5 linked regions of the Sus scrofa genome follow. The protein of the gene in region 2 interacts with the protein of the main gene of each other region in a pairwise test. Links are inferred from orthologs where the notes say so. Each region holds a gene or a part of one and is shown on either strand. Other genes may lie near its edges. The genes, in order: RASSF1, AKT1, PPL, ARNT and EGFR.

The links.
Region 1: the proteins of AKT1 (region 2) and RASSF1 interact in a protein complementation assay, tested with the Homo sapiens proteins (2 studies listed by BioGRID and IntAct, with this or other methods). The link is inferred for Sus scrofa from reciprocal best matches to the Homo sapiens genes AKT1 and RASSF1.
Region 3: the proteins of AKT1 (region 2) and PPL interact in a two-hybrid assay, tested with the Homo sapiens proteins (2 studies listed by BioGRID and IntAct). The link is inferred for Sus scrofa from reciprocal best matches to the Homo sapiens genes AKT1 and PPL.
Region 4: the proteins of AKT1 (region 2) and ARNT interact in a protein complementation assay, tested with the Homo sapiens proteins (2 studies listed by BioGRID and IntAct, with this or other methods). The link is inferred for Sus scrofa from reciprocal best matches to the Homo sapiens genes AKT1 and ARNT.
Region 5: the proteins of AKT1 (region 2) and EGFR interact in a protein complementation assay, tested with the Homo sapiens proteins (3 studies listed by BioGRID and IntAct, with this or other methods). The link is inferred for Sus scrofa from reciprocal best matches to the Homo sapiens genes AKT1 and EGFR.

What each region holds. Positions count from the first base shown.
Region 1 is NC_010455.5:32,815,136-32,819,210, forward strand, and holds the end of RASSF1 (ras association domain-containing protein 1), read right to left. Parts: exon of another isoform or gene 3,481-4,075; coding exon of another isoform or gene 3,436-3,480; coding exon 3,331-3,435; intron 3,134-3,330; coding exon 2,836-3,133; intron 2,716-2,835; coding exon 2,600-2,715; intron 1,980-2,599; coding exon 1,833-1,979; 3' UTR 1,021-1,832; downstream 1-1,020. Other genes in the region: TUSC2 (tumor suppressor candidate 2), read right to left, coding at 1-69. UniProt on the Homo sapiens protein: Potential tumor suppressor. Required for death receptor-dependent apoptosis. Mediates activation of STK3/MST2 and STK4/MST1 during Fas-induced apoptosis by preventing their dephosphorylation.
Region 2 is NW_018084979.1:3,039,490-3,043,057, forward strand, and holds the end of AKT1 (RAC-alpha serine/threonine-protein kinase), read right to left. Parts: coding exon 3,468-3,568; intron 3,322-3,467; coding exon 3,234-3,321; intron 1,909-3,233; coding exon 1,806-1,908; intron 1,585-1,805; coding exon 1,505-1,584; 3' UTR 788-1,504; downstream 1-787. UniProt on the Homo sapiens protein: AKT1 is one of 3 closely related serine/threonine-protein kinases (AKT1, AKT2 and AKT3) called the AKT kinase, and which regulate many processes including metabolism, proliferation, cell survival, growth and angiogenesis.
Region 3 is NC_010445.4:37,501,572-37,505,791, forward strand, and holds part of PPL (periplakin), read left to right. Parts: intron 1-398; coding exon 399-577; intron 578-659; coding exon 660-798; intron 799-1,468; coding exon 1,469-1,662; intron 1,663-2,892; coding exon 2,893-3,043; intron 3,044-4,113; coding exon 4,114-4,197; intron 4,198-4,220. UniProt on the Homo sapiens protein: Component of the cornified envelope of keratinocytes. May link the cornified envelope to desmosomes and intermediate filaments. May act as a localization signal in PKB/AKT-mediated signaling.
Region 4 is NC_010446.5:98,367,766-98,371,985, reverse strand, and holds part of ARNT (aryl hydrocarbon receptor nuclear translocator), read right to left. Parts: intron 2,467-4,220; coding exon 2,253-2,466; intron 716-2,252; coding exon 613-715; intron 8-612; coding exon 1-7. UniProt on the Homo sapiens protein: Required for activity of the AHR. Upon ligand binding, AHR translocates into the nucleus, where it heterodimerizes with ARNT and induces transcription by binding to xenobiotic response elements (XRE).
Region 5 is NC_010451.4:139,430,957-139,435,176, reverse strand, and holds part of EGFR (epidermal growth factor receptor precursor), read right to left. Parts: coding exon 4,162-4,220; intron 1,074-4,161; coding exon 947-1,073; intron 855-946; coding exon 781-854; intron 7-780; coding exon 1-6. UniProt on the Homo sapiens protein: Receptor tyrosine kinase binding ligands of the EGF family and activating several signaling cascades to convert extracellular cues into appropriate cellular responses.

The sequences.
Region 1 (4,075 bases), on a different chromosome or scaffold from region 2:
CGGGCCGCCGCCCCCCGCCGCCGAGGCGAAGGGCCACAGGCCCCGAGCTTTGGAGCCGCTGGCGCCCATGTCAGGGCCACCGATGCATGGCGGGGTCCGCGGCCGCTTCGCTCTTAGAGGGCCGACAGCACCGCCATGCCCTGCCTCAGCCTCCGCTCGCAGGTGCCGCCGCCGCCGCCGCCGCCGCCGCCACCACCACCTTCAGGCTCCGCTGTCTCCACGGAAACCTCACTTCCGCTTCCGAATGCTCTTTACCTTGCCCCCTCTAATTGGTTGCTTCTCTCGTCGATCCGCGGAGCAGGGCCAATAGCCGTCCTCCGATGCTAGGCATCCTAGCATGCACTGCGAGACGTCAGTTCCCAGCAGGCCACGCTCCCTCCACCTGGGGCCGCTCCCACACAAGAAACCTGTGGCGGTGTGCTCCTGGCTTCTTCGATGTGTGTGGCGGCGTAAACGTCCACAACCCCTAGAAGTCAGGCTCAGCGGACCCGTCCAACCACCAGGTCCTCTCAAACCAGCACTTTAGGGCCTGACTTCAGGCCAGGCTGGGAAGTGCCTCTCTGGCCTCATTGTATTCCCACGCTGTTTGCTATTCCCACCGTGGCATGCGGAGAAAATACCGAACTTAAGGAGAATTGGCCAGTGGTTGTATGGCTACATTCAGGACTGAAGAACTTCAAATCGTGTTCTTTCTAAACCCACCAAAAACCATGCTTCATGAAGGTTAACATCTGTACCTTCGGTCCCATAAGCAGTGTCTGCTCCACACCAGTGTCTGAATATTTGGCGAAGTGTGTGGTTTCCCTAAGCTCCGGCCACAGCTGATGTTCTTGCCTCTACCATGCCCTGAGCTCCCAGGTGTTGACTAATGACCAAGTACATATCCATATCGCACAACCTTCACAAATTGGTCTCATGGTCCCCGTGGAAAAGGTGCTTTATGAGGCTGTCTGTCAATCTTGGCAGCCACTGGCATGAGGGGCAACTGCAGATGAGGGCCCGTAAAAGAATCCAAAAGCAGAATGCTTAAATCTTTATTCAGCCAATTCTCTCAAGCCCCAGGCCCTGATGCCCTTCACCCCGACCCCTTTCCCAACAGGAGGCAGTGAGCTGAGGTCACAAAATATTACATACATTCGCACACATCATCAAAAATACTCAAGGGAAAGACCCTGGCTTTGACTGGCAAACAAGGCACAGAGGTGGGCCAGTGCCCACACACAAACCCTGACCCAGGGACATCCTCCTTGGAGGAGGCACTGAGGCACCATTGCTGCACCATGAGCTAGCACTACCTGACCCCAGAGTGTCTGAGGAGTCAGAGGGTGCTACAGAGAGAATCCTAGACTTCCTTGATGCCTAGAATATCCATCCTTGGTTGTGACAGGGCTGTCCTGAGACCCTATCCAAGACTTAAAACACAATCTTTCACCATAGATGAGGGCCCTCATCCCTGCAAACATGACCCTATTATTTGTTTGTAGGATCTCAAAGATTCTTGTATCTAAGATACAAATTAAGTAGACTTCTGTCTGCTCCAGCCCCATTGGCAACCCTGGAGCAGCTTCCCAGGGCAACCCTGGCCCACCATGACCCAGTACATGAAGGGCAGAAGGGTGCAGAGCCATGCTCTGTTACACCCACTTGTGGACACAGGGGACCAGCTCCTTCGCTGTTCTCTGGGCTCATTCCCCCAGCAAGAGAGGGCCTCCATGCACATTCATTCCTCAGGCCACATGGGCCTTCGCACACTCACACGGCACGCCCTTGGCGCTGCCTACTCTCCTCCTTCCACCCAGGGGTACAAGAGGTCACCCCAGGGGTACAAGAGGTCACCCCAGGGGGCAGGCATGCAGGGCTTCCTGGATCTTCTGGCGGCAATAGGAGTACTTCTTCAGGATCTGGCGGAGGTGTTCCTCTTCTTCCCGCTGCAGGATGCGTAGGAAGTTGTGTAGTTCAGGCATGCTGAAAGCATCCCACTGTAGAGGGGGGGAGACACAGGCTGCAGCACACACCAACAAGCCAGCAAGCCCTCCCCAGAAAAGACCAGAGCATCATGATCACACAGCTGGGATGGGGCTTTCTAAAGTCGGCTTCTTGCCTGATGGCCTCTGCTAGGATTTCCAACGACAATCCACATACAAGATGGGCCCCACAAAGTAGGGCGGTCACCTCGTGGACAGGCAGCCAAGCCAAATGTTCCCCAGTTACCTGTGGATAATCATACCCACTCTCTCTGAGTTAAATCTCACTCTGCCTGTGTACTACCTTGGAGCTAGAAAGATTCCAGGTAAAAAGTTCTAATGCCTGAAGGGGGTGCCTCCATGTCATCCTGTGCCCATCTGTGTGACTTTGATCTGACCACCACACTGTAGAATGGGACTCCTGCATCACCGGAGGGCTTTCCACAATGGGAAAGAGCAGAGCACAAAGACATTTCTTCCTGGCTTCTTGAGTTAGGCCCTAGACCTTGGCATGAGTGTCACTTTAGCTACAAGTTTCAAATACTCTTGGGAGAGGTCTTGCAGGGCTACTGTAGCTGCAACTCACCAGTCCTGCCCAGTGACAACCAAGAAACTAAGGATGGCTGTATACTCACGTTCACCTCCCCAGAGTCATTTTCTTTCAGGACAAAGCTTAGGGCCTTCTCACTGGGCCCTGCGAGGAGCCGGAGCCGAAGGGGCTGCTCATCATCTGATAGCTTCCGGAGGTACACTGAGGACCAGGCAGGGGGACGGGAGTGTTTGATTAGTCAGGCCCAGTCCCCTCAGCTGCTGCATGCACAAGCACATTTACTTTCAGACATGATGGGGTGGGGTGGAGTGGGAAGCCCACCTTGGCCATGGCGCTCAGCCCGCTCAAAGAGCGCAAACTTGCGGGGATCATCTACCACCAAGAACTTGCGCAGCAGGGCCTCGATGACTTCACGTGCCCGGGTGCGTGACAACACATGCAGGTGCTTGACAGCATCCTTAGGCAGGTAGAAGGAGGTACGGCGTTTCACAGCTGTGCCCCGCCCTGGGCCCCGCCGGGCATCCTGCAAGGAGGGTGGCTTCTTGCTGGAGGGAACGGATACAGGACGCACCAGCTTCAGCTGAACCTTGATGAAGCCTGTATAGGAGCCGTCTTTGTTCTGAAGAAGAAAAAGCAAACCATGACTAGGTGCCAAGTGAGATGGAACAGATTTGGATGCTACCAGCCCACTTGGGGCTAGGCTGGGTATGAATAAATCACTGCTTGGGCCTACCCAAGAAAACCTCAGCTGTGATCCTTGGGCATCAGGCACACAGCTGGGTTCCTGCCCCTCTCCAAAACAGGATGTCAACTCACAAGGCTCATGAACAGGTTGCTGTTGATCTGGCTGTTGTACTCCTTGATCTTCTGCTCAATCTCAGCCTGAGAAAGGTCAGGTGTCTCCCACTCCACGGGCTCATCCTGAAAGATGGGAAGGTGTGGACACAGGATTCTTAAGGAACCCATTCCTCTGTAATGTGTCACAGGCAAAGGAAGTGAGCCCTGGATGGACCACTATGAAAAGTGGCCTATAGAAAGTGACAACAAAGCTTGAGGTCTGGAGTTCCCTGGTGGCTCAGTGGGTTAAAGACCTGGCATTGTTACTGTAGTAGCTTGGGTCACAGCTGTGTTGTGGATTCAATCCCTGGCCGCGGAACTTTCACAGGATGTGGGAGTGGCCAAAAAGCAAAGAAAAGTTTGAGCCTTGATGAGAATAACCTATTACTTCCTGCCTGGAGCCACCTTAGCACTGGGTAAGGCCCTAAGAATACCTGGAAACCAAGGTAACTGAAGGCATGAATGAGGCTAGGGGCTAGGAAAAGGATGGGGATTCTGAGGATGGACAGCTTATCTCAGCACCCTAGTTGGGTGGGGTCAGGGCGTGTCCTGGAGAAGGCAATCCACTTTGCTACTCTGCCCTGACCAAGACCCTCTATACAGTGAGAGGTGTAGGGACTGGTGCATACCAGGAGCTCGGCCGCCAGTGGGCAGAAGGGGAACAGCAACCTCTACAATGTTAACAATTAACACCCCCTGGTGGGGGACTTGGGGCCAGCCCTGT
Region 2 (3,568 bases):
TTCTATCTGAAATCTGGGTCCAAAGTCTTGTTTAGTAGGTAGCATTTGCTGTGGTTTGGGTATCCCCAAAAGCTGTGTCCTGGAGCCTGTCAAAACGGAGGTAGTGAGGGACCACCCGGCGGAGAACCAGGCTGCTCTGGATGCCCTCGGCCCCATGCTCCTTGCAGCCGCCCCACCCCAAGGCCTTATGGTCAGAATCAGCTGCCGCGGAGCCTGGGGAGACAGGCAGCTCTGCCCCCTCCCCCAGGCCCGGGCGCCAGGTCCGGCAAACGTCGTGCCCTGTGACGGTCCCCGCGTCCTGGCCACACCTGCGAGGTTGAGTCCACCAGGGACAGGAAGAGCAGCAGGCTCGTGCTGGGCAGCTGGTTCCTCTCCGCGCCCACCAGGTGGCGCCCGCGGCACGTCCTGCCCTCCCGTGCCGCCAGACTCGGCGCGGGTCCTAGGGCGGGGCACCTGGGTAACGCCTTCCCCCCCGCAGGTTGCTTTTTCGCACCTCCTCAGGTCCCAGGGCCTGGCGGTGGCCCTGTCTCGACCTTGGCCAGCTCTGGGCCCTTCAGGGTCCCGGTCCTTCCCCGTGACCAGGATCTGCTGGATGGACAGGGCTGGTGCGCAGGTGGCCGTGCAGTCTGGGTGGCCTTCTCGGGGCGTGGGACTGGGGCGAAGCCACCGAGTCCTGCCAGAGCTGCGTGGGGGACACCTATCCTCGTAGGCTGCCCTCGGGACCGCGAGGCAGGAGGGACAGGGCCCTCCACACCAGTGGGCCGGCCACCTAACTAAACAAGCCACGGAGTTGAAAAGCAAGTTTTATTGAGGAATTTGGAGGGAAAGTCTCATAATAGTAAAAATACTAAAGTTGAATATAAAAAACCGCCGTGGTGCAGCGTAGCGTCTGGCCGGAGGGCGGAGCGATGGCCCCTGCAAAGGGCGTGGGGCGGGGCCGCGGCGACAGCGGGAGGGTGAAGCTTCTATGAGGACAATTGCTAACCAGGGGAGCCATCGGATGGGATGGTCCCAACGGGCAGGGGCAGAGGGGGGCTTCCTTCTGAGATGAAGCCCCCAGGACGCGCGTGAACAGAGCAGGATCTCGCCCGGCCCAGCCCCACGCAGGGGCCGCCCGCCTCCAGCCCCGGCCAGGCCCCGGCCGGCGCTCCTGGCCCGGCTTGCTTCCGGGCCGAGTCGGTGCGGCCGGGAGCGCGGGCGAGGCCCACCCGGCCCGAGAGCGCGCGGCGCGTGGCCGCGCCTGGAGAACCGGATGAATAAATTAGGAAAAACTGCAGGGCGTTTTCCTCCCGGCCCGGCTGGAGGCTGGGGAGGCGGCCCGGGGCCGGGCGGGCAGCCCCCGCCACAGCCGCCACAGCGCGAGCCGCGCATCCCTGGTGGGAGGAGCAGCCCGGTGCGGCCCAAACGCGTCCAGAAACAAAACCCATTAAATACAGGAGGTCCGAGCGCGGCTTCCCGCCTCCCTTCGAAGCCGTCGTCCGGAGAGCGCGCCCGGCTGGCCGCCTCAGGCCGTGCCGCTGGCCGAGTAGGAGAACTGGGGGAAGTGAGGCCTCCGCTCGCTGTCCACGCCCTCCATGCTGTCGTCTGCGGGCACGCGCGGGGCGGCTCAGAGCCCGGGCACCAGCGAGACCCCAGCGCCCGGCAGGCTCGCCTCCTCGCCCCGCGAGGCCCTCCTGCCGCGGCCGCCACCCCCCAAAGGCAGCCTTCCCGAGGGCCGCTGGACGGCCGGCCTCCCACCGAGGGCAGCGCCGAGGGATGGTGCGCGCGCGCGCCCGGGGGAGCGGAGGGGAAGGCGCGGCCCTCACCTTGGTCGGGCGGCGTGATGGTGATCATCTGCGCCGTGAACTCCTCGTCGAAATACCTGGTGTCCGTCTCGGACGTGACCTGAGGCTTGAACGGTGGGCTGAGCTGCGGAAAGGGGGGCTGGGTTACAGACCCGGACCCGCCCGGACCACGGCCCCCAGGGAGCTGTGCCCCTGGCTTGGGAAATGACTCCTGTCTCCCAGGGGACGGTGTCCAGGCAGCCGTCCCCACCCACAGGCAGAGTTCTGGAAGGAGACCTGCACAGGAGGGGACCCACCTAGGGCCTAGGTGGGTGCCCCTCAACCAAGAGCCCGCAAGCAGTGTCACGGCGCCCCTGCAGGTGATAGGAGGCAGTGCAGCCCAGCTCCGAGGACCCCACCCCCGGGGCAGAAGGGGCCCTGGCCACTTTTCTTTCTCCAGCGCTCCTATTTTCCTTTCCGGGTGTCTCAGAAACCGCCGGCAGGCCCAGGCTGCAGAGGCTAATGCCAGACAAGGGGAGGGCAGGGCTCGGGGGCCCACTGCCACCCGGGAGGGGGCCCCGGAGCAGCCGGCCACTGCCCCCTGCCCAGGGCCTGTGCCAACCCCACCAGGTGCCCTGGGGAGGGAGGGGGATGCGATGCCCAAGCCCCGCCCAGGAGATGTGGATGGGGCCCCGCCCTCCCCTGCCCGCTTCCCCTCGGGGGGCCTGGTCCTTCAGGGGTCCACCGGAGGGAGTCTGGTGCCTCACTCGCAGCTCCCGGGTAGCAGAGTGGCCCTGAGCGTGGCCACAGGCAGGACTCCCAACGACGCGGAATGAGAGGCCAAGTGTAAGGGGCCAGGCTGGGGGGAGAAGCAAGCGCCCCACCCCACCCCCACCAGGGCCCTGGCCTGGGGGTGGGGCTGCCCTGGGAACTAGCAGGGACCAACAGGGTGGGCACTGCAGCCCCCAGAGGGCAGGCCCCTGGCCTGGAGCTGAGCAGGGTGGGGCACCCATCTCTCAGGGGCTAGAGGCCCAGCCGGCTGCGTGTGGCCTGCAGGCGAGGGAGACTGGAAATGGGGGCGAGGTGTGCTTGTGACAGGACGTCAACGAGCCCGGGGACATCCCCCTCCTGCCCCCAGCCTGCTGGGCCAGGGCCTGGGGCTCCCGAGTCCCTCAGAGGCAACGGGCAGAGGCACATGTTTAGGAAGAAGCTGCCTCGCTCCTCAGGGGCCTCCTCACGTGTGGGTGAGCAGGTGTGTGTGTGCAGGTGTGTGAGCAGGTGTGAGCCTGTGTGTGTGCAGGTGTAGGGTGTGTGAGACCAGGTGTGCCAGCAGGGGTGGGGGTGGGAGCAGGTGTGTGAGTGGATGTGCGTGTAAGCGTGTGTGTGCAGGTGTGCCACCGTGTGGGGGTGGAGGTGAGAGCCTGAGTAAGGGTGTGGCTGGGGGGGGCCGGCCCACAGGCCCCCACGCACCTTCTTCTCATACACATCCTGCCACACGATGCTGGCGAAGAAACGGTGCTGCATGATCTCCTTGGCATCCTCAGAGCCCCCGCCGAGCCTGGGGGAGACGAGGCCATGGTGACGGGGGCTGCCTCCTGCCCGGCCCAGAGCTCGGCCCTTCCCCCACGAGGTCTCGGGCAGCGGGGGACAGGCAGCCTCCCTGGGGCCCCCGGGGCTGAGCCCGCGGCTGGAGGGGGCGCCCACCGCTGCTTGGGGTCCTTCTTGAGCAGCCCTGAGAGCAGGGACTTGGCCTCGGGGCTGAGCGTGCGCGGGAAGCGGATCTCCTCCATGAGGATGAGCTCGAA
Region 3 (4,220 bases), on a different chromosome or scaffold from region 2:
TGCCCAGTTTATGGAGGAGGATGGGGCTCAGAGCAGGGCTGTGGCCCTTGATGGGCTTCACGTGGGGGCTGGCAAGGGCCGAGTCACGGCCGGAGGACGGCTGGTCCAGGAGTGGAGGCATGGCTGGGCCCCGCTGCGTCCCCTCCTTAAGCTCCCTGGAATCACCCCTCCCTCACTGGGCTGCCCCCAAAGAGGAAGAGAATCATCCTGTGAAGCAGTGGAACAGTGGGTGCTGGATGTTTTCACCACCCATGAGGCCCCGGCCACTGCATCTGAGCTCCTAGGCCGGCGCCCCAGACCCCCAGCCAGGCTGCCCGGGGAGAGGGTCCTGGGGGAGGAGGTCCTGGGGGAGGGGAGCTGCCAGCTGTGACCAACGCCAGGGGCTCTGGTCCCCACAGAACATCACCAACGAGCTGCTGCGGATCGAGCCCGAGAAGGTGCGCAGCACAGCAGAGGGCGAGGCGTTCGTGCGGGCCCAGCCCAGCAGCAGCAGCGCAGCCCTGCTGAGGACACGGGTGGAGGACACCCAGCGCAGATACGAGCGCCTGGTGCAGCTGCTGGCTGCGGCCCAGGAGAAGTGAGCACGGTGGGCGGCAGGGAGGCCAGGCAGCGGGGCCAAGGGCCTGGCTCCCCCTCCAACTCCTGACTCGCATCCTCAGGGTCGACACGGCCAACCGCCTGGAGAAGAGCCTGCAGCAGGGCTGGGAGGAGCTGGCCACGTACGAGAACCTGCTGGCCCAAGAGGACACGGTGCCGGAGTGTGGCCATGCCCTGGACAGCAAGAGGCAGGAGCTGGCGGTGAGCGTGGGGACCCATCTGAGCTGGTCGTGGGCTCCAGGTGCCCGCCTCTCCCAACCCCTCCCTTGCGGACAGTTGAAGGCCCGAGGCCCAGGGCAGGGAAGTCTCTGCAGGTTTGAAGTTCCAGCCGCACACGGGGTCTGCAGACATCGGGTGGTACCTTAAAATCAAATATCCACGTACCGCGCAACCCCAAATTCCCAGTATCTCTCGAAGAGCAGATCTGGCCCTGGGCCCACAAAGCAGGTGTGCTGAGCAGAGGAGCCTGTGCCCTCTTCACATTTGCCACTGGGCTGCTCTGAGCTCCGGGGCCTGAGCCCGTGGGAGCCTCATGTTCACACGCCGGCTCACCGAACCCTTGGCTTTGTGCTGAGCGCCTCACCTCAGAACCCAGGAGTGGGCTCGGAGAGCAGAGCCTCAGCCCAGGCTGTTCCCGGCCTGGCGTCACAGATAAGCACAGCGGGCCACAGGGTTTTAGAAGTTAGTTTTTCTAGGGTGTTGTCCATTGTAACAAAAAGGGAATTTCAGAAACGACCACAGGTTTGAGGAGGAACGAAGAGTCAAATCCCCGGCTCCTGCCAAGGCCCAGGCTTACCACCCGCGAAGCGGGCAGCTCTGGGCCCTGGAGTTCTGGCCACAGCACCTACTATCTGCCTCTCTGCCCTGACAGGCCCTGGCCTCTGAGCTGCAGGCCCGGAAAGCCCTCCTCGGCGAGGTGGAGCAGAACCTGCAGGCAGCCAGGCAGTGCTCCAGCTCGCTGGCCAGCCGCTTCCAGGAGCACTGCCCGGACCTGGAGCGCCAGGAGGCGGAGGTGCACAAGCTGGGCCAGCGCTTCGACAACCTCCGCCAGCAGGTTGAGCTCAGGTGCGGGGCCGTAGGGGGGTGACAGCCTTGGCTTAGCTAGTCTGCCTTAAGGCACCAATGTGGCATTTCTGTGGATGCCTCCAAAAGTGGTTTGTTTTCTGAATACCTCTTTTTGAAAATAAGCAGTACATATACAAAGTGACAAACACAAGGTGATTGTACAGCCAACCTTCCCCTTAAGATCAGCTCTGCTGACAGTCTGTTCCTATCCTTCCAACACTATTTTGAGATCAGGAGCAGGTAGATATATCATTTGAATGACAACATGCCACCCAGTGTCCCTTGCTGTCTTCCCTGTCCTGTTTTGCCAGCCTCAGGAGTCAGTGTTCCTGCTGGTGCTTCTCTTCTGGAAGAGGCCGTGTCGAATGGCTGTCAGGGTCTTAAACGCTTGGTAGAATTCACCCACCAGTCACTGCCATCTGGGCCCGCAGCTTATTCTTTTCTGTGTAAGGTTTTTTAACTACAAATTCCACCTCTTTAATAGATGATGAACTATCTGACTCACTTAATTCTTGAGTTGTCTTCAGAGGTATGTGTCTTTCAGGGACACACTGTCCCTCTCCAGTTGTGGACTTTAGTGGTACGAAATTGTTCAGAATATCCTCTTATCCTTCAATGTCTGCATATCTGGGGGATGTCCTCTCTCTCCTGACGTCGTGTCTTCTTTTCTGTGTTTTCTTTTTTCCCCTAGCCATTCTGCCTGACGTGAATCAATCTGTTGACTTTTTCAAAGAATCAGCTTTGGTTTGGGGGATCCTTCTGAGTTGTTTCTTACTTCCTATTTCATTGACATCTGCTCATTATTATTTGGTCCTGCTGCTTAACATTAGCTTCAATCTGCTGTCTTTCATCCTAAGCTTCTGCTTAGACTGTTGATTTCAGAGCTTTACTTTTCTAATCTAAGCATTTAAAACTACATATTTCCCACTGAGCACTGCTTTCACGGCGTCCCACGGATTTCTTTATTCTTGGTGAGTTCAAAAGATTTCCTCACCTCCCTTCTGATTTCTGCTTGGATCCACGAGCTGTTTAGGTCCTAGATCCACAGTGGGCAGCCCCGTGCAGTATTCCAGCCCCACCTTCCGTAATTCACCTGACCCCTCCCTTCCTGGTGAGCGTTTACGTTATTTCCAGATAAACCATTTGGGGAGTTCTTTCAGAAGGGACGGCAGGCAGCCCTCAGTAGGCATTGGCTCTCTGTGCAGAGGTCTGACCGGCTTTGCCCCACAGGGCCCAGAGCCTGCAGAGCGCCCAGGCTGCTCACGATGCCTTCCGCAGTGGCCGTGACCATCTGCTCCAGTTCCTGTCCCACATCCCCAGCTACGAGCCCCAGGAGATGGACAGCCTTGGCCAGATGGAGACCAAGCTGAACAACCAGAAGGTAAGACAGCTGCCTCTAAGTTCACGGGCAGGGGGGTCAGAGGTCAGCAAGCCTCTTGGCGGATGAGGCCCAGGTGAGGTCCTGGCAGGGTGGGTTCCCAGCACAAGTCTCTGAGAACAAAGCCGGTGTCTCCCTCACCTCAGTGCCCTCCCTGCACTGGGCCTGGCTCAGAGTGGACACTCCGTGCAGGCCGGCGAAATAAGCAAATGGCCACAGAAGCACAAGAGGAGCCGTCATGGGGAAAAACGCATGTCCACAGCCCAGAGTCCTGGCTCCCCAGGAGGAAGCAGAGCCTTGGGCAGAGGAACGACAAGAGACCCACCCACCTAGGCTCAAATCTCGCTCTCACCCACACTGTTGTTGGTTTCCTCATCCAGAAACGGGATGAGGAGGGTGCTTCCTCCCAGGATGTGGGGGTTCAGTGAGAGAAGCTAAGACAGACTCTAGAACCGTAGCTGAGATTGTAACGCACTCACTAAACACTGCTTTCCTGGCAAAGATAGCTGTCCCTGGCTCTTCTTCAAAGGGACTTGGAGCTGCCTTTTGTAACAAACAAATGTAAACAAGGAACCATTCGTTACACTTTGTGCCACAGAAAAATAACTCCAGGAGTTCCCATTGTGGCTTGGTGGGCTATGAACCCAACCAGTATCCATGAGGATGCGGGTTTGATCCCCGGCCTCGCTCGCTCATTGGGTTAAGGATCCAGCATTGCCACGAGGTGCAGCAAAGGTTGCAGATAAGGCTTGGATCTGGTGTTGCTGTGGCTGTGGTGTAAGCCGGCAGCTGCAGCTCCAACTCAACCCCTAGCCTGGGAACCTCCCTATGCCACGGGTGTAGCCCTAAAAAGAAAAAGGAAAAATTTCCAAGATTCTAAGACTCCTACTCTATCGATGTTTTTTCTTTTTAAATTTTTGATTTTTTTTTTTTGGCCACAACCATGGTACGCAGAAGAGTTCCTGGGGCGGGGATCAAATCCTGGCCACAGCAGCGACCACACCGGATCCTTAACCTGCTGAATGCACAGGAACTCCTAATTTTTTATTTTTAAAGTCTCTGTTGTGTTCCAGAACCTGCTAGATGAGATAGCAAGAAGGGAACAGGAAGTACAGAAAGTCTCCACCCACTCCCAGGAGTACCAGCAAGCTGTCAAGGTGAGATGTGATAGCCCTGCGGG
Region 4 (4,220 bases), on a different chromosome or scaffold from region 2:
GCCACACCTGTTTCAATGAATGGAGAGATTAATAGTAATTAGCAAAGTTGTTGCCATCAGTTAACAGCCAGATTACAGGCTCTGGATACAATGTCACAGAGAAAATTGCTAACAATGCTCCTAACAAGAATAAAGAAGTCAGGTTTGGTATTTCTAAAACTTGTAACTGTCCCAGAATTGTAAGTCAAAATATTCTAAATGCTCTTCAAATGCAGATTCTCTACTGGGGGTCAGTATACTTTTTCTGTAAATGACCAGGGATCAAACCCATATCCTCATGGATACTAGTCCGGTTTGTTACTGCTGAGCCACGGTGGGAACTCTTGCTTGGGGCTTTTTTTTTAATCAGCAAAATAGTAACCATGAATTCTATCCTACAGAACAGTTGTAGGAAATGCGATGACAGACCCAAAGTACTTATCATAATGTGTGGCATAGAAAGAATTCAGTTAGTTTCCTTATCACTTTATTCTGTTACAACCCATGTGGGTCTTGAGAGTTAAATTTTACCTAAACGAAGCTTGGATTTAAAAGTTTAACTCCTCTGACCAGAAATGAGATGATCAGCTCTTAATTCTTCCTACAGCAAATTACAATCCTCCAGACACTCACCTCATACGGCAAATAAACGATCTCCTTGAGCCCATACACATCCTCATGGAAGACTGCTGACCTTCCTTTTTCACTGTTCCAGTCTTCAGATCAAGGATACGCCCTGAAGAAGGATGTGAAGAGCAGTCTGGAATGCATTCTTGTGTGTGGGGAAAAGGGGGAGAGATACTGGAAGCAAAGATACATAGCCTATTCATGCTCTCCAATCTCCTTGCTTACGACGGAATAAGCCAAGTAGGAGATGTATTTTTTTTTTCCCAAGCCTAAAGCACCTTGATTCCCATCAATGAATCTTACTACTCAGTTCAAAGGCAGCACTGGAAATAACCTTGTGAAAGGGAAGACAGGAGTGGAAGTAGGTAGAGTTGGCAAGCAAGATTATATATTCTTAGGTCTGATTAATGTTGTACACATGCATTCATATGCACATGCACACAAACATGAAATGAGTATCACTGGTTTAAAACAATTTTAGGAGTTCCCATCATGGCTCAGTGGGTAACAAACCTGACTAGCATCCACAAAGACGTGGGTTCAATCCTTGGCCTCACTCAGTGGGTTAAAGATCCGGCATTGCTGTGAGCTGTGGTGTAGGCTGGTGGCTACAGCTCCCATTCACCCCCTGGCCTGGGAACCTCCACATGCCACAGGTGCGACCCTAAAAAGATCAATAAATAAATAGATAAAAACAATTTTATATGTTATAGAAACAGCCACCTGTCTCATGCTAAAAGTGTTCCTCCCTTTATTATATAGAAACCAACGAGAACTTTTGGGGAAAAAGAAGAACTAGAAAAATGAAATCCATAAAAACATAAATGAAGGGAAAGTTAAATATCAACATTAATATGACCATTCCAAATGAGACAGGTTGGGGGGTGAAGGGATGCTCTGAGGATTTGGGATGGAAATGCTGTAAAATTTGGTTGTGATGATTGTTGTACACCCATAAATGTAATAAAATTCATTAAGTAATTTTTTAAAAAATTAATATGACCATAATGGATTTAATTGATTGTTTAATTTGCTTCCACATTAAAATTTTTTCCAGATTGCTTGGGAGCAGATGTGACTTTTTTCCTTTAGCCAAACTCTGGCAAAAGGACTGAATAACACTAAATTGGGGGAGGGGCAAACAGGGTTGGGACAAAGACAAAACAGAAAAATAGCACAGATAGCAAAAAAACAAAAAAAACAAAAAACAAAAAACCCTTATACACTGACTGAAAACCACTTCCCTCTAAAACGAAAATCTATTACCACAGAACCTGGTACAAAGCCAAGCATAAGTGGGTAAAAAAAAAATACTAGGCAAGTACCTACACAAATGATACAGAAACATGGATAATTTAACTCTTTTATAATGAGGGGGCATCGTAGGTTTGGCTTTTACTGTGTAATTATACTAATATTAAGATTAAACTTTATATGAGCATTGTCATTAATGCACATTTTCTAAGGATGAGCTACAAAACATATTACCTGCATATGGATAAAAGAACAATTACATTCATTAATGGAGAAAATTCTATAAGCTTTGCCAGATTCAATAAAAAAATTTAGAGTTAAAAACACGTCTTCTGTCTCAGAAAAAAAGAAGAAAGGACTTCCCATTCATTTTCCATCCACATAACTCATACCTGTCAGGGCGTTTTCCGAAGTGGAAAGCTGCTCACGAAGTTTGTCCACATCATCTGGGTGCACCTGATCGTAAAGCGTGCTACCAAACCATTCAGACTGTGGCTGGTTCAAAACAGGGGTCACTGAGTCGGAGACATACACCACCCGGCCTGTTTCACATGAGACAATAAACAGAAAGCCATCTGCTGCCTCCAAGATCAAATGTTTCAGTTCCTGTCCAAAGAAGAGAAATACAACTCAATACTGAAGTCAGAAAAAACCAAAAATGGAAAGAAGTAAGACACTTAAAGCCATATGTATCTCTCCATAAGCAAATGCTGGCTTCTGTCTGATCCACAGGCACAGCTTTGCACCCTAAATGTAATCACCTTAACTGACAAGATAGTTTTTTCCAACAGATATTTCCTCAGTGTGTCTACGTCACCAGCCACCTCCTCCTCAGAACTCAAGATGGGAGGAGTTCCCGATGTGGCACAATGGGATCAACAGCATCTCTGCAGCATCAGGACACATATTCCCTGGCCCTGCACAGCGGGTTAGAGGATCCAGTGTTGCTACAGCTGCAGTGTAGGCAATTAGCAACTGTGGCTCAGGAACCTGGCTGAGGAACTCCATATGACTCGGGAAAGCCAAAAACAAAACCACCACCAAAAAACCCTGAGAACTCAAGATAGGGAATAAAAAGGCTTACCACTAACAATAACTGAGTTCTTAAACTCACCCTCTCTCGTCTCTTTTTAGGATCTTGCTCTACGAATATTCCCATTTCTCTCTCTTTCCCCTGGTATCTTAAACATGATCAAGTTTTCTCAATTTTAGACACATCATCCCTCAACTTTGCCCAACTCAACTTTCAGGGCCAAGCTTAAACTAAGAATAATGTTACACTCACTGGCTCTACTTAATCTTTCATTTATTTCTCCATCCCACTGTCATCCTCTCTAAGCTACAACATTCATGTTTTTTTCAGGTTACTAACATCTTCCTAACTGACAACTCAAGCCCTCTTTCCTGGGCTCTATACCAATCTTGCTACAGAATCTGATAGTGTTGTTCATTTTAGCCTTTAAAATTTATTTCTCCTTAGCTTCTAAGACACCACACTCCAACTTTTATTTCCTTTCCAAATGTCCCTTCTCTGCTTCAGGCTCTCTTTCCTTTGTTTAAGTCTCAAGTGTAGGCATTTCCAAGGTTCTATCTTAAGTTCTCTTCTCTATTTAATACATACTTTCTCCCTGAGAAATCATCTCTACTTCTCCACTATGAAACAATACCCAAGTCTACATCTCTAAACTTGCCTAAAATCTATTAAGGATTTCCAAATAGATATTCTATCAGAAATTCAATTTTAACATCTCATTATCTTCCCCTCCAAAAAGTATCCCCTTTCTCTAAGGCTATAGGCCTCAAAAATGTAACTACTCTCTCTTACACTCCAGAGATAATTCAGTTTTAACAATTCTATTTTCAAATACAGTGTCACTGCCCAAGTCATCTCATGCTAAAACTAATGGTCTCCCTGTTTTCACTCTCTCCAATCCATCCTTAAAATGCTACCATATTTTTTTATAGTTTTCCATTGACTAAAAATTAAAATGTGAATTATTTAACATAACACCTAAATATTCCATCAAGTCCCAGTCAACCTTCCTATTATTATCTTCCAAGACATGCTAAACTCCCTGATTTTCCTTGAATAACCCAATCATCACCAATCTCACTATGCTTTTGATCAAATTATTTCCAATACTGCAACACTATTCTATTTTTTGCTTTCCATATTTGCACTTCTATAGGACTTATTACTGTACCTCTACTACAGAACTGATTCTGTTTATATTATGATTTACTTATTTATATGTCTGTTTTTACCAGTGACTATCTCTTACAATTCTTTTAAATTTCTCATAGCACGAAGCACACAAAAGTTACATAACTGGAGTTGTTGAATCAATATCTGTATGTAT
Region 5 (4,220 bases), on a different chromosome or scaffold from region 2:
AAAACCCTGTAAGGCAGGAGAAAGATGCAGGCCATTTAGCAATTCCCTTTTCCTAAGAAACACTGTCACAGGATTCTCGGGAGGCTGTCCAGGAGCAGACGGCGAATGTTTTGTTCTCCTCATCCTCCTCACTAAGCACTTGCAGACACACACACACACACACACACACACACACACACAGAGCCACACGCACCAGGCACCCTTTACAACAAGCCCCCTGCTGCCCTGGGCTAGAGCCCGACTCGCCCCGCAGGCTGTACCCACGGTGGGAGCTCCCCTCTTGAGACCCCAAACAGGCCGCTGCTCTCTAAGGCAGGGGCCAGTTCTGAGCTTTAGCGCCACAAGGAGACTGACGTGAAATCTCTATCTGGTTCCAATTCTCAAGCCAATCCTGTTATAAAGTCCAGTTACACCTTTTTTAGGGATGAAGAAAGTGGAGCTGCCGGGCCCCGGGCCCAAGGCCGGTGTTGGGGCAGGACAGGACACGTGTCTCTGGGCTGGGAGCCCGCAGCAGCTCAGTGCCTGGCCCTCCGCCCTCCATCCCGGGCTGTTGACCGGCCACCTGGGCTGGGCGCTGAGACCTCGCACGTCACACCGAGTCCCAGGTGACTCGACTCTGCTTAGAGAGTTTGCCTCCTGAGAGCACGGGGAGCCGCGGTTTTGAAAAATATCAAAGAATGAATTACTCGCTAATGGCAAGGGAAGAGAAAATCGCCTAAAAGTTCTCCCTGTAAAACACCTGCCTCCCACGTGTGCTAAGACGGCAGGTTAGCGGCACACCTGTTATTTCCTTCACGGTTTTCAGGATGTCCAGTTCCTTGGGGTCCAGAGGCGGCGTGCGTGTGAAGGAGTCACTGAAACAGGCCACAGAGGATCCATAAGGGCCTGCAGGGAGCCAAGCGGATCCCGCTTTTCTCCAGAAGGTCCTGACGTCAGCTGTACTCACCCCCTAAATGCTACCGGCAGGATATGAAGATCTCCGCTGATCGAGGTGCAGTTCCTGAAGTGCTTGATATTCGTAGCATTTATGGAAAGTGTGTCTTTAAACTCGCCAATCCCTATCCCGTTACAAACTGTAAAGACAAGGGAGGCGATTGTTCCCTTCACATTTGTGAAATGAAGACGACCGAGGGCTCCCAAGGCAGGGAGGAGGCGGCAGGGCACAGCCGTGGGACCATGGCCGCCCCGCGGTCCCGCGTTCGCTCCGCTGACACTGCTGGGCTGCTGGGTTCCAGCACTGGGACTGGGACCGGACCGGGGCTTGGGCTGCGGTCCTGACGGGAGTGCCCTCACCAGACCTGCCTTCTCCTCCTCACTTTCCCACTTGGGCCAGAGGTCAGGTGCTCCTAAGGGCCCCGCTTCCTCTCCAGACGGCGGCCCCACGGGGCGGATGCTGCACTGTGCTGGCCCTTGGCTGGCGCCCCCGCTAAAGCCGCAGCAGTGCCCTTGCCCTCACCCGGGGTGACGCCCGGCCTTCTAACGGAGACAGTATGCAGACTGGGTTTTATTAAAAGAGTAAGAAGCATTTGTTTAAGAAAATGTGAAAACACAGAATGGAGAGGAACAAAATGACCAGCAATTCTACTATGTACCTTTGACATTTTGAGAACTTTCCTTCTAGTTCTCCCCCATGGTTATGTCACACTAGATGTGGGGCTGGCTTGTCGTGTTCACTTACTGGGCTGTGAACATTTGTCCCATCATTAGAACCATTCACAACATGGATTTTCATGGCTGTGTGATGTCACGTCATGAGGAATAATACTGTGGTAACGCTCATCAGAAACACAGCTTTTATTCCACAGTGTTTACTGGCGCCACAGAAACTGTGTGCTCTGGTCTGTGTCCCGCTGCGGCACCATTCCCGACGCTGTTTCCACACTCTGAGCCCATGCGCTAATTTCTATCCGCCCCTGAATTTCCATCCCAAGTGCCACTGTCATCCACAGCACGTTCATCTGCTTTGGCTTTACCTTCAGTGCAGTTGTTAGCTCTCTTTCAGATTTTATCCCCCTTTGAACGGCAATCACTGAAAATTTCTTCATTCAGGATGAGCCCCCCACCACCCAACTTCCCAGGGACGCGGTCACGTCCTGCTGCTCCATCTCCTGCCACTTGCAAGGAGACCCTGGGTTGCAACCTGGCTGTGGGCCCCATCCCATCAGCCACCCCCAGGCCCGCCCCGTGCTGCATCTAACACTTGGCGGCTTTGGAATGCAACAGATTTGGGGTTCCAAGGGTTTCCCTATCAACAGCAAGGAGGCTTCAGCAACACAAGCGCTGTTTAGCCACAGCTGTGGAAGAGAATGCCACGCATTTGGGAGAATATTCACTCTCCCTCTCTGCTCACGTCTGACGGTGACAGTGGCAGGGTTACCGTAATCCCTAAATCTGGAGATAAATCACACAGTCGCCCTGGACCTATCAGATCTGCAGAAGCTGTGGACTCTCAACACACACCCCTGTCCTGCCTGTCTTCCTGCCCCCCCCCAATGCAGTGGCACTGCCCTCACTCCACGGGATCTGAGTCGGCCACTGCTCTCTCCAGGATGAGAACCAGGGAGGGTAGAAAATGGAGCATAATGACTGCAGGAGAAATGAACACGAAGTTAACAGAACAAAACCAAAACGATGTCTGATTTTACCGATCCACGTGAGGATGCTGCTAGGAACCCTCTCTCCCTGCTCAGCTCTTTTACTCCCATTCGTATTGTCCTCCTTCCACGTGCCCTCTGCCCAGAGGTCTCCGGCCACCAAAGGATGCTCCTCCCTCCAGGCACAGGCCCACCTGCCACACAGGTGTCCCTAGACCAGGAGGCCACAGCCCGGCTCATGGGTCTGGCCTGGGACTGAGGCGTCACAGCTTGACTCTGCCCGTCCTGGCTGTCGCCCCGGGCAGGTCTTCTCGATTCTCTGTGACTCAGGGCCTCATCTGTAAGATGGGGGGTAACAGCACAGACCTAGAGGGGCTGGACGGATTCGGCGAGTGACAGGTAAGAGCATCGACTAAACCGCAGACACTTTTTAGGGAAAGTTCATCTCAAGTGGGTGTTCAAGGCAAACAGCTAGTCACAGAGGTGTTTTTACAACAGCGGAAGCGTGGACGCAGTGTAAATGACCATCCTGAGGGAGGCTGGCTAGATAAAGTATGGGCCAGCCTCGCAGGAATGCAGTTCCGGGACACACGGAGCTGAAGCAAGGAGGGAAGTCACGATCTAGACGCGGCACGTGCCCCGAGGACATGGGGCCAGCGGGGGGTGGGGCACACGGGAGACAGACCGAGCGTGATAAAGAGGGGTGACCGTAGAGTGAGTAAGAAAAGATCCGGTGACCTTACCTGGCCACTAGAAACTATTGCGAAAAAGAATATCAGCTAATAAATGCAGAAGGAATGACAGATATGGAAAACCATCTTTATAACCACCAAGAAATGATCCAATTTATCATCATGGAGACAGGATGAAATGGCTGGGCCACGTGGTCGACACTTCTGCCCGCAGTACGTCACCTGGGTCCCACCTGCAGGAAAAGCTCAACCAGCCTGGACGCCTCACTTCAGGTCCCGTGAGAGAAAGGGGATGGGGGCAGAGACCCTGCCCAGAAGTGAGCAAGAGCAGCGACCCCGCAGCCCTGGCTTGGATTCTGCAGCAAAAGCAGCTAAAAAGGACACACTGGGACGGCAGGCTTGGAATTAAAGTGAGAACAGAATCATACTCAGTCGATGCTAAACTCAGGATGAGGGTGAGACGGTCCAGTTTGTAGGAAAGCAGGCTGATGAGTGTGTGAGGGGCGAGGGTGACAGCGGTAATCACTACGGGGCAGAAACACGCACACCACGCAGGCACACACACACCCGGACACACACGCCCGGACAGAGCGCGAGCGACGAGGCGGCTGCCGGGCACCGCCAAGGCCACGGGGCATTCACCACGTTCCTGCAACACTCCTGGACGTTTTAACATCTTCGGGTTCCAAGACAAAAGCTCAAAGGTGAGCAGGGACGGACTGCGTCAAGGGTGCCCAAGGCCGGCGCCCAGGAAGGGTCCCCTTTCTGCGCCAGGACAACCTCTCAGCTCTCGTGGGGCAGGAGTATGAGGCCCAGGGGCAGGAGGCCCGGCTGTGGCTGTGGCCGTGACCGTGGCCGCCTGCACAGCTTCCCACCTTTGCCGCAGGGCCCGTCACACTTTTTACACTTGCGGACGCCGTCCTCCTCCACCTCG